Arabidopsis thaliana: one gene and its partner. The protein of the gene in region 1 interacts with the protein of each later gene in a pairwise test. Each region holds a gene or a part of one and is shown on either strand. Other genes may lie near its edges.

What was found.
Region 2: the proteins of AT5G51790 (region 1) and AT2G18090 interact in a two-hybrid assay, tested with the Arabidopsis thaliana proteins (one large-scale study listed by BioGRID).

Annotation. Positions count from the first base shown.
Region 1 is NC_003076.8:21,037,891-21,042,329, forward strand, and holds AT5G51790 (basic helix-loop-helix (bHLH) DNA-binding superfamily protein), read left to right. Parts: upstream 1-1,642; 5' UTR 1,643-1,676; coding exon 1,677-2,048; intron 2,049-2,162; coding exon 2,163-2,516; coding exon of another isoform or gene 2,517-2,555; exon of another isoform or gene 2,556-2,620; coding exon 2,621-2,704; 3' UTR 2,705-3,728; downstream 3,729-4,439.
Region 2 is NC_003071.7:7,861,994-7,868,339, forward strand, and holds AT2G18090 (PHD finger family protein / SWIB complex BAF60b domain-containing protein / GYF domain-containing protein), read left to right. Parts: upstream 1-2,200; 5' UTR 2,201-2,507; coding exon 2,508-2,797; intron 2,798-2,910; coding exon 2,911-2,990; intron 2,991-3,066; coding exon 3,067-3,254; intron 3,255-3,407; coding exon 3,408-5,324; 3' UTR 5,325-5,827; downstream 5,828-6,346. Other genes in the region: AT2G18100 (transmembrane/coiled-coil protein (DUF726)), read left to right, coding at 5,936-6,156, 6,250-6,331.

The DNA of each region.
Region 1 (4,439 bases):
AAAAAAAAAAAAAAAAAAAAAGTAGTCCCTTACTACATCAAATTCGTCTTCCTTGACGGCAGTTCTACTGTTTACCTTTCTAACAATTTGATTAGAAAATACTGTTAGATTATTATAAGTGGTTGGTTTGTAACTGAACACGGCTTACACACAGAACAAAAATCAAACTTGAGGTTATAATGAATAACTACATAAACTCACATGTGGCATAATGCATGCTCGAAATAATTTGGGAGAGTGGGATCCATGAGATGCTAATGAGGCTGGGATATTTTAGGACAAATGAAACAGCTGGTTTCCATCTATTAATAACCAGGATCTTTCTTGTCTCCTCTTCCACCTTGTCTTGAAGTTGCATGAGCTGTCCTAGGCCTATCTTTTAACTATGTCCACTCCACTTCACTCATCCTATCCACTTAGCTTATCCCCATTATTAAATGTGTCTCCCTTGGTTTTACTATTTATCTTTATCATATTTTGATTGAAAAATATCGTGAGGTTAGTTTCTAGAAGTTTTACCCGATGACAATCGAAATTGCCAAAACAACAAAAGAAACTGATAAGATATTTTCTCTGTCCAAGTGAATGAGAGTGAATTCCCAATATTTTTAAATGATGTTTGTATTCTTGTTCTCTTTTTTTTTTCATTTAACTGTTATGGGATATGTACGTAATTTTCCGCAATTCTAATGTATACTATAACAATATGATTTTCATGCTTAGACTGCGTTAGAAAGTTCGGTTATAATACTGACAACATTTGTGTGTTCATTGATACTGCGAACATCTTCACAAACATATTGATAAATAATCTCTTCTCTTGCATGAGATTATATTATTTGAGTACATGTACACGTTCTTATTTGCCGAATGTTCTTTGTTGCCACCATAAAGTTTTATTGGGCCAAAACTAATAGAAACCACACATAATCATTTCGTTGTTTTGTGTTTTTGTCAAACAAATCACACATAATTCAACGACAAACTTTCTAATTTGAGCAACCTCTTTATCTCCTTGAAAGTTTCTATGGAGAATTCTACCGATTAGTCGACTCATGACTATTCATCCATTATCACAATTGACAAATCCAGATATTTTGATCAAATATCATTTGATTTTTTTGTTCTATCTCGAAGCAGATACCAGTGTACCATAAGAAAAAAATGCTTCATTAGTCATCTTCAAATCACATGCAAAAATTTGGAAGAAAACTGAAAACAATTTGCATGATAGATCATAATGTTCAAGCAAAAATAAATAAATCCAAATGTGATAAAATGTATAGATATTCACATTGATCTTACTAGTAATATTATATATTTTCTAAAGTTAATTAAAATGTTCTATGTATTTTTTTATATATGAAACACATCATATAAAAGAAAATTGGAATGTAAATTCCAGATCTTGATCCATATAAATATATCAAGATTTATATCGATCAAGATCATATTGGGATCCGTTTTAGACTAATCAAGATTTTACCATTCATATTTCTTGGATATCTGAAATTATAAAGCGCGTCAGAAAATCTTCTACAAGACACTCCCAACATTAAAAAGCCAGAGAAATGATTTGCACACACTCGCTAGTTATATACATACAAAGCATAAAGTTCTGTCACGTGTAAAAGAGCTTGTGAAACATTACAGCAAACCAAACTATTTGACTAAAGATGAAAACAACACCTCTCCCGAGGCTGCATTATTTAGTAAGTCTTCTTTGTTTTTTTCTTTCTTCCAAGATTAAAGAAGACAGACCCAATTATGTAAGGGCAGTCTCTCCTATAAACCTAACTAGTTCATTGGAAAAAACAAGAGAGAAAAAAAAACGATTACTGCTGAGATCTACCATTTCTAAACCTCAACCCATGAATCCTTCTAACAATCCTAAAAAGACAAGGCACCAGAGTCATATGCCTCAAGAAAGAGATGAAACGAAGAAGGAGAAGAAGCTTCTCCACCGCAACATCGAACGACAAAGAAGACAAGAAATGGCGATCCTTTTCGCCTCTCTTCGTAGTCAGCTACCTCTAAAATACATCAAGGTACATATATTTTACTCCAATAGTCTCATTGAAGTCCCAATCTTCCTATCAAGTTCATTGATGGGAGATTTTTGTTCTCTAGGGTTTTAGTTTTCTCAGGCTCTTTCTTCGCAGGGAAAGAGAGCCATGTCAGATCATGTAAACGGAGCAGTAAGTTTCATCAAAGACACGCAAACAAGGATAAAAGATCTCTCCGCAAGAAGAGACGAGCTAAAGCGAGAGATTGGTGACCCTACTAGTCTAACTGGATCCGGATCCGGATCTGGATCAAGTAGATCGGAACCAGCTAGTGTCATGGTGCAACCGTGTGTGAGCGGCTTCGAGGTGGTTGTGAGCAGCTTAGCATCAGGTCTCGAGGCTTGGCCACTCTCAAGAGTTCTTGAAGTTCTTCACGGGCAAGGACTTGAAGTCATCAGCTCTTTAACAGCACGAGTCAACGAGAGGCTCATGTACACTATACAAGTCGAGGTACGGTTACATATTTGGAGTTATTGTAGAGTTTTTTAGTGTAAGCTTATCTATTGTGTAAATATGCTTATTCTTATGTATCCATATATATGATATATCCACAGGTAAATAGCTTTGATTGCTTCGACTTAGCTTGGTTGCAGCAGAAGCTAATTGAGCAGTTAGTACTTTCCACGACTAGGCACTGAAAAAACTAACATTTGTCATAAGAATATGTTCATTGAATGATGCTTTTGTCCCAATCTCTTTGTTTTAGTGTCCGTAAGGGTGTGTTCTTTTGGTCCTTCACTACTTGGAGTGATTTTTTTTTTTTTTTTTGTAAAAATGATCTGGTTGATTAGATTGAATTAGCAAATTCTAAACTTTCATGCATGCTTCTTTATATAGGAGAATCTTTTGATCACCAACAAAACAAAAATATAGTGATGCGCCTGATTTCTTTATACATTTTTGAATATATATATTCATCAATCGATGATAAAGACTAGAGTCTCATCGGTGTCTTTTTATACTTCATATGCATGAACCATAGTTGATAGATATTTTGAACATAGCATACATACACTTCTCTGAGACTTACCAATGAAGATATTTTATGAGAGGAGCATGGTAATGCAGGTTAAATAATGGAGCAGCTGCCATTCAACATTAGTAGATATCTTGTGAGTTTTACTGACTAAATTCGTACGACATTGACCTATAGCTAGGAACAAACACTGATCAAAAGAAACTTTCATTTGATTAACCCGCATATATATTAGTAGATAATATGGCATGCACATAATTTGATTTGACTCACGGTTTTCAAGTTTTCTAATCATGCCATATTTTGTTCATAAATGAAATTACATGACATTACTGAAATATATGGAAAGGAATACTGAAAACGTTTTTTTGGGTTAAGAAGAAGAAGAAAGTACATTCAAATATTCATCTATATTTTATAGTGACGTATATATAACTCTAGGTTTCTTTTGCCTCTTCGGCCTCAACCAGAAGCACTGAAGCACTGAAGCACATAAACAGTATCGCATAACTTCGGTCATATATATTTTGCCGTTGAATAATTTTTCTTAGATTTATGTAAAATTATGGCTTAAATACATCTTAATTATATAAAAATTAGCGAGGATGGCAGTCGAATGTTAAAGCAATAAAGATACGATTGAGTGGTTGAGATCTCCCTAATATACTTTTGATTTAATTATTGTTAGTTAATGGTTAAGTACAAAGATGCTGTCCAACGAATTCATGATCTTCAAATTGGATTATGTTCTAATAAAGACAGCCTAATTAGACCAATACTTAAATCAATTGTTGGTGATGCGTGGTTAAATAATATTCTGATGACAAAAAAACATAATTTTATTTTTTAAAAGTCCCTTTTCCAGAAGAAAAAAAGTTATAAGAAAAAGTTTAGCATATCCGAATTGACTAGTTCTATCTATAATTCAAGTGGATGACCGTAAAGCTTAAAAGAAAATGTCTATGCCCGATCCCTAAATTTCGAATTTATTTATAACAAAAAATTTGGTAAACTATTTATTTATTAATAATAAATTGGTCACATATATTCCGATTTTTAGTTCGAGAAGTACCCTTTTATGAATCTGAAATCCAATTATCGAGGGCACGATTTAAGACAGCTCACCTAATCATAAATAGTGGAAGAAAAAAGCTCTAATCTTACGTATGTATGAGTTTCTGGCTTTAGAAGAGTTAATTAACCTAAAGTTATCTAGTTGAGTGTTGTGTGAGTGTGAGGTTTGGCCCGTTTCTGATGCTGATTAGTTGGCATACATATCATTATCCGCATGTACTACCAAAAAATATCCGCTTGTACTATGGTCAGCTTTCGAATATTTATGGTGGTGTACGATTTTACCAAATATCCTTGAGAATAAAATCCACTTGGCGAATATT
Region 2 (6,346 bases), on another chromosome or scaffold:
CCATTTGTTTTCACCCAAAAAAAACCACCTGAATTTCTTGAACAAATTCACAAGGAAATTAAATTTGTTTTCTGGGTTTTAATTTGTAACAAAATATCACCTGGTTTTATTAAACTAGTTCCATTAGTTAAAATTAAAAATTGCCGGTATTGTTTTGTTAAATATTTTATTTTGATAAAATCCTCTGATCTCTATCATTCGAAGTCAAAGCTGTTTTGTTCACGTAAAACTGCATGTGTGATCCTATATATTGTATATTGATAAATACGTTTAACAATGACAATCTAGTGAGATAGCTCATGTCACATCGACCTATGATCAATGGATTACTTCAGTTTGATAATATGTTTGTATGTGATCACGAATTATATATTATATACCAATCGATTTTTCATTGTTTTATGTACTATAATTTGATTTCAGCTCACTACATATAATATTTAAACGTGACATGTTCATCTTTTTTCGTCGTCGATCGACATATCAACTATAAGATTAGTCGGTTGTACGTATAAATCTTGACCTTTTACCATGGATTTGTCCTATAAAAGCTTACTAGAGACTAGAGACCAGAACGCATTAATATTATTAGGTCTATCTTCTATCACTTCATAGTGTTTCTTTAACACTCATGTTTTGCAAGTGTCGTTTTGTACTATTGGAAAAGATTATTGTTATAAAAAAAAAAATGAAACAAAACTCTAAAAAATCAGTTAATCTTAGTTATAAAACATTATCCTGCTAGAAATCATTGCAACTTTAATAAAGTATTGAGTCTTGAATCGTTATGTCCACTTCGTTTATTTTATATAAAAGTTTGTCAACTAATTAATAGCTGATTTTTTTTTTCTTTTAAGAGAAAGAAGATCTCGAAATGAGAATTAAAGATAAGATATATGGTTAGGTAGCGAGTAGAAGACCAAAGCAAGAAACTACGACCACGACATCTTGCACATAAGAAAAAAAAAAAGTAGTTCAATTTCATTTTCGCTTTGGTCCACTTTATTATTTAACAAAAAATAATATCTAATAAATTACATTAATATAACAGTCCGTGTTAGACTAAGACACGAAGCCTCCCCCACTAAATCGACGCAAATAAAAATAAACAAATGGTGGGGTTAAGAGTTTAATTCGAGCTGTGGAATTTTTTTATAAATATACAAAAATAATAATATTTAAAATAATATATATTACGATAACAAATTTTTATGTCAATCAATTATATTTTAAGAATCTTCTAAAATCAAATATTATTGAACTAATAATTTGAATAATAATTTTAATTCCACTATTATTGAAAATATTCATATCATTAGTTTTTAAGGGTGTATAGTGAAAAAATTCCTCAATTTCAAATATGTTAATACAAATTTCCCTTTTTAAAAATTATCATGAAATTGGACAAACTATATTTATATTGAAAAAGATATATAAACTTATACAACACAAATTGTAAACAAAAATAACATGATGTTCTTCAATAAAATTATAAATCATCAAACCTAAACTCTAAAATTGTCAAAGTAAAAAACCTAAATTGACGAATTCTAATTTATTATAGCGAAATTCTCTGATGTTTGTATGATGTCGAAGTTGATTATGAGAGATTTTGTAAAATTTTGTGTTTTAATTTTAACCATAGTTTATCTAATTTTTACGACAATGTAGAAAGACAGGATTAAGATATTTGAAAAATTGAAGTTTTTTTTTATAAAATATATAATTGAATAATTTCTTATAGAATTTTAGAAAAAAATTTTAGATAAAATTAAAAAACACAAATGTAATTCTTTTATGTAGAATTTGGGGAACCAGACTACAACAAATCATAAATTTCTCTAAATTTACCTAAAATCATATTAAAAATTAATAAATCATTATGAATCTTAAATTACTTAAAATATAAATTTGAAAATACTCCTCTAACTCAGAGATCAATTTTTTCTAATGCCTCGTGATTTTTTTGCATCTTGTAGCTTAGTCACCTATATATATTTTTAGTGGTAACAAGATTCTCTGTTAAAAAAATAATAAAAATTAAAAATAATAATAGTTTATTTTATGGGAAAAGACGCGAGTGGCTCCCACCAGCCTCAACTTTGCCCACGTGGAACCAGCCATATGCGCGGCGTTTAGACAACAAAAAAAAAGCGTGTTGTTTCTTTCTCTCTCTAGAAAGTCAAAAAAAGGAGACAGACAACCAAACACTGCCTTGTCACATCTCTCTCTCTCTTGCTTTTGGCGAGTAACGAGTAAGTCCATTTTCCATGTGCCCACTGTGTCTTCTCTCCTTACACGCCACCATCTCCTCCACCTCCTCCTCCCTCCCTTCTCCAATTCCCAATTCTCCTCCAAACCCTAGGGTTAGGGTTTCCACGATTGCTTCACCTTCCCTTCTTTTTTTAAAACCTCAGATCTTCCGCTTCCTCGTTCTTGTCTTTTTGTTGAGCTGAGAAGCAAAAAAAAAGTGTTCTTTGGCTTCACGAGGAGCCAACAACGAATCGATGCCGGAAATCGATCTTATGAGAGTCGATCATTGTGTTTCCGATGTTAAATTAGATGATTCTTCTTCTTCTCCTCCGGGATTCTTCGATGGTGGTGGTGTTCCGTTAGATTCGGATGTGAAGTTAGACGAAGAAGATTCCGATTCTTTGAAGAAGAGAGGTAGACGTGGTCGTCCGCCGAGAATTTTAGCTAAAGCTTCTTCGCCTCCGATTTCGAGGAAGAGAAGAGAAGATGAAGATGTTTGCTTTGTTTGCTTCGATGGTGGTAGTCTTGTTCTCTGCGATCGTAGGTTAGTGAAGTTTTGAGCTTAGACAAGTTACTCTCCCAGCTCCATTACATTCCTACTTGTAAAAATAGAAACTTTTACTTGTGACTGATGATGATTCTTTCTTAATTTGTCAGGGGATGTCCAAAGGCTTATCACCCAGCTTGTGTTAAGCGTACTGAAGCATTCTTCAGATCGAGATCTAAATGGAATTGTGGTAAGTTGTTCAATTTTTATCTGTTTTCTCTTCTTTGAGATGGTTCATAGTGATGAGGATGGTTTTTTGGTTTCAGGTTGGCACATATGTACTACTTGTCAAAAGGATTCGTTCTACATGTGTTATACTTGTCCGTATTCAGTTTGTAAGAGGTGTGTTAGAAGCTCAGAGTATGTAGTTGTAAGGGAGAACAAAGGATTCTGTGGAATTTGTATGAAGACTATAATGCTTATTGAGAATGCAGCTGAAGCTAACAAAGAAAAGGTATGAGAATCCTGTCTACATTTTGTTACTTTCTCTTACTCGCAGTACTACAAGGTTATTTGTGGAACTTGAGGTCTGTTCTTGTAATGTCGCTTTGTTTTTTTAATGTGGATTCTTTCTTCTAGCTAAATGTATTACATGTACATTTTCTAGGTTCAGGTTGATTTTGATGATCAAGGCAGCTGGGAGTATCTTTTTAAGATTTACTGGGTTTCTCTTAAAGAAAAGCTAGGTTTATCGTTAGATGATCTTACCAAAGCAAAAAATCCATGGAAATCTTCTTCTTCTACTGCCGCTAAGCGAAGAACTACTAGTCGGGTTCATGAAAAGGATGATGGAAATTCTCCTGGGGTTATGAAAATACGTCGTGCTAAAGTAAGGAAAATGGATGCTGTTTCTGTGAGTAATTTGGGTCCTTCTTTGGATTCAAACTGTTCTTTGGGTGACAGACTTCCACAATTGACTAGTGCTGCTACTTGGGCAACCAATGAGCTTTTGGACTTTGTGGGGTATATGAAAAACGGTGATATTTCTGTCTTATCAAAGTATGATGTCCAAACTCTCGTGCTAGAGTATGTGAGACGGAATAATCTACAAAACTCTCCTCAGAATTCTGAAATAATGTGTGACTCCAAGCTTATGAGATTGTTTGGAAAGGAGCGAGTGGACAACTTGGAAATGTTAAAGCTTCTTGATTCTCACTTCATCGATCAAGTTAGGTCTCCAGTCACAGATAATTCAGCCGGAGGAGTCACTGAAACTATGTCTTACCAGGTTAATGCGGGCAGAAGCTGTGATAGGTTAAATACATCTGAACAGCATCAAGAAGGGGAATCACAGCAATTGAACGGGCACAGTATTCAAGTTAGACCTTCCAGTTCTGATAGCAGAAACCATGCAGTTGTAAAACCTGACACAAGTGCCACTCTGTCCAATAAGCCAATTGATGGTTTGGATACAAATATGGTATGGTTATATGGAGATCCAGATGGGAAGATTCATGGACCATTTTCGTTATATAACCTGCGACAATGGAATTCAAGCGGGCATTTCCCACCAGAGCTGAGAATATGGAGGTTGGGTGAACAGCAACACAGCTCCATACTTTTGACTGACGCATTAAATGGGCAGTTCCATAAAACAGGGTTATTACAGAATCATTCTATCCCCAAGCAGGAAGTGACAGCTACTATAGCTAACGATCAAAACAGGTCTGTGGCTGTTCCTAAAATAGAGAGTAGAATACTTGACTTCAGCCCCAACTCAGTGTGCACTGACCAGAGTGTTATTTCTAGCAGTAACAGTGTCATCACAAGGAGCTCGGATGTGAGTAACAAAAGCGGAAACAATTGTAGCCACGCCGTGCCATTGGATTTTTCTCTTTCTAATGAAAGGGATACTGTGGGTTTTATCTCTCTCTGGGACAAAAGAAAAGTTGAAAGTTCTTTGCTTGTACAAAGCCCAATAAGCTGTTCACTCTCGCTGGCTACATTACCTAGAAACTCAAACTGCTCTCTGCCACCACATGAAAGATGGAGTGCTGGTCAGACAGATGGAAACAGTGCAGCAACGACTGCTTGCAATCAAAACGGTAGTCTTAGCGGCTCAGCTGAGAAACAAGTCACGGCTACAGTCCAGTCATGTGGACAGAACTGGAATGCTGCAACTCCAAGCAGTGCTTCAAATGTGTGGGATTCGAACTCGGGTTTGACGTCTTTCCCAGACAATCAAGAAATAGACTTTTTAGATCTCTTTAGTCCAACTTTCAAATTCAACTTTGCATCTACTACCACTGATTGGCAACCCATTGTGGCTGGACCTGACGAATGCGACGAATCAGTCTCAGATCTTTTGGCAGAAGTGGAAGCCATGGAGTCCCAAAAACGTCTTCCTTCTCCAACTTCGACATTCCGTGGTCCTGAAGAATTATTAATCCGGCACTCAATAAACGATAGCTTCAGTCCCGCAGAAGGACATAGCCCAGCACTAGATGTAAGCAAAGGTGACTCCATGAGCTCCACAAACGATCTTCAAATGCATTCACGATCTAACAGCACCGTGCATTTTTAGTCGTGGGCTCGGGTTCACATAGAGAGAAATCATAACCTGGGGCACAGGTTACCATAGATCATCCAATGTCCTAGATTCGTCTGATCGATGGTGGACTATGCCCTCTTTCTTCTCTTTTTTTTTGCAGGATTATTACAGAACATAAATAAATGGCAGAATCATCAGCAAAAATGAAAAAAAACGAGTGGTGCATATGTAGAAGATGTTTCTTCGCGGTATTTTTGACTGCACCCATTGTTTTCTTCAGTATTTAGGTTTTGTAACGTTGTCCTGTGTTAAGATTTGCACAGACATACCCAACTTCTGTATCTTTTTTTTTTACATTGTTTGTACTTAGGAACAAGTATAAAAATGGGAAGAAATTGTTGTCCATGGATGTAATCAAAACATTTGTAGGGATCATATCATCTTATTATTCTATATATATGATAATGATAGTGTAACGTTTCATTCTTTTTGTTTTGAATGTTTCAAATCTATTTATATCATGACAAGTGTAGGCTCCAGTTTATTCTACTTGTTTTTGGAAAATGAGACGAACTCTATTGATCGTTTCTGGATTTGGAAACTTTTTGTTGTTTCTTCGATTTCGTTTTTGTTGATCTGAGTTGATGGTGGAAGCTACGTCAAATTTGACGCCGTCGCAGAGATACGCGGCAAGCGCTTTGTTTGCAATCGCGCTTAACCAAGCGCAGATCAGCCAGTCAAAGCCATTGGGAATCCCGGCCACCGGAAGTACCGGAGAGCCAATCAGCAGCGACAGTGATCCTATCTCCGATGAGGCGGATCTCTGGGTCCACGAAGTTTCCGGCCTCCTCCGTCCTGTTCTCAGGTGATCTTGAAATCATCTGGAATAGTCATGTTCATATGCGTCTCTGTGTGTGTAATGTATACATTTTGAGCTGTCTCTGTAATTTGCTTTCAGATGTCTTCAGATTGATTCATCAGCTTGGCATGGCCTTGAAGAGATAGCTGCTTCTACTCAGGCTAAGGATCACATCGGTGCGGTATGATTAATTTCT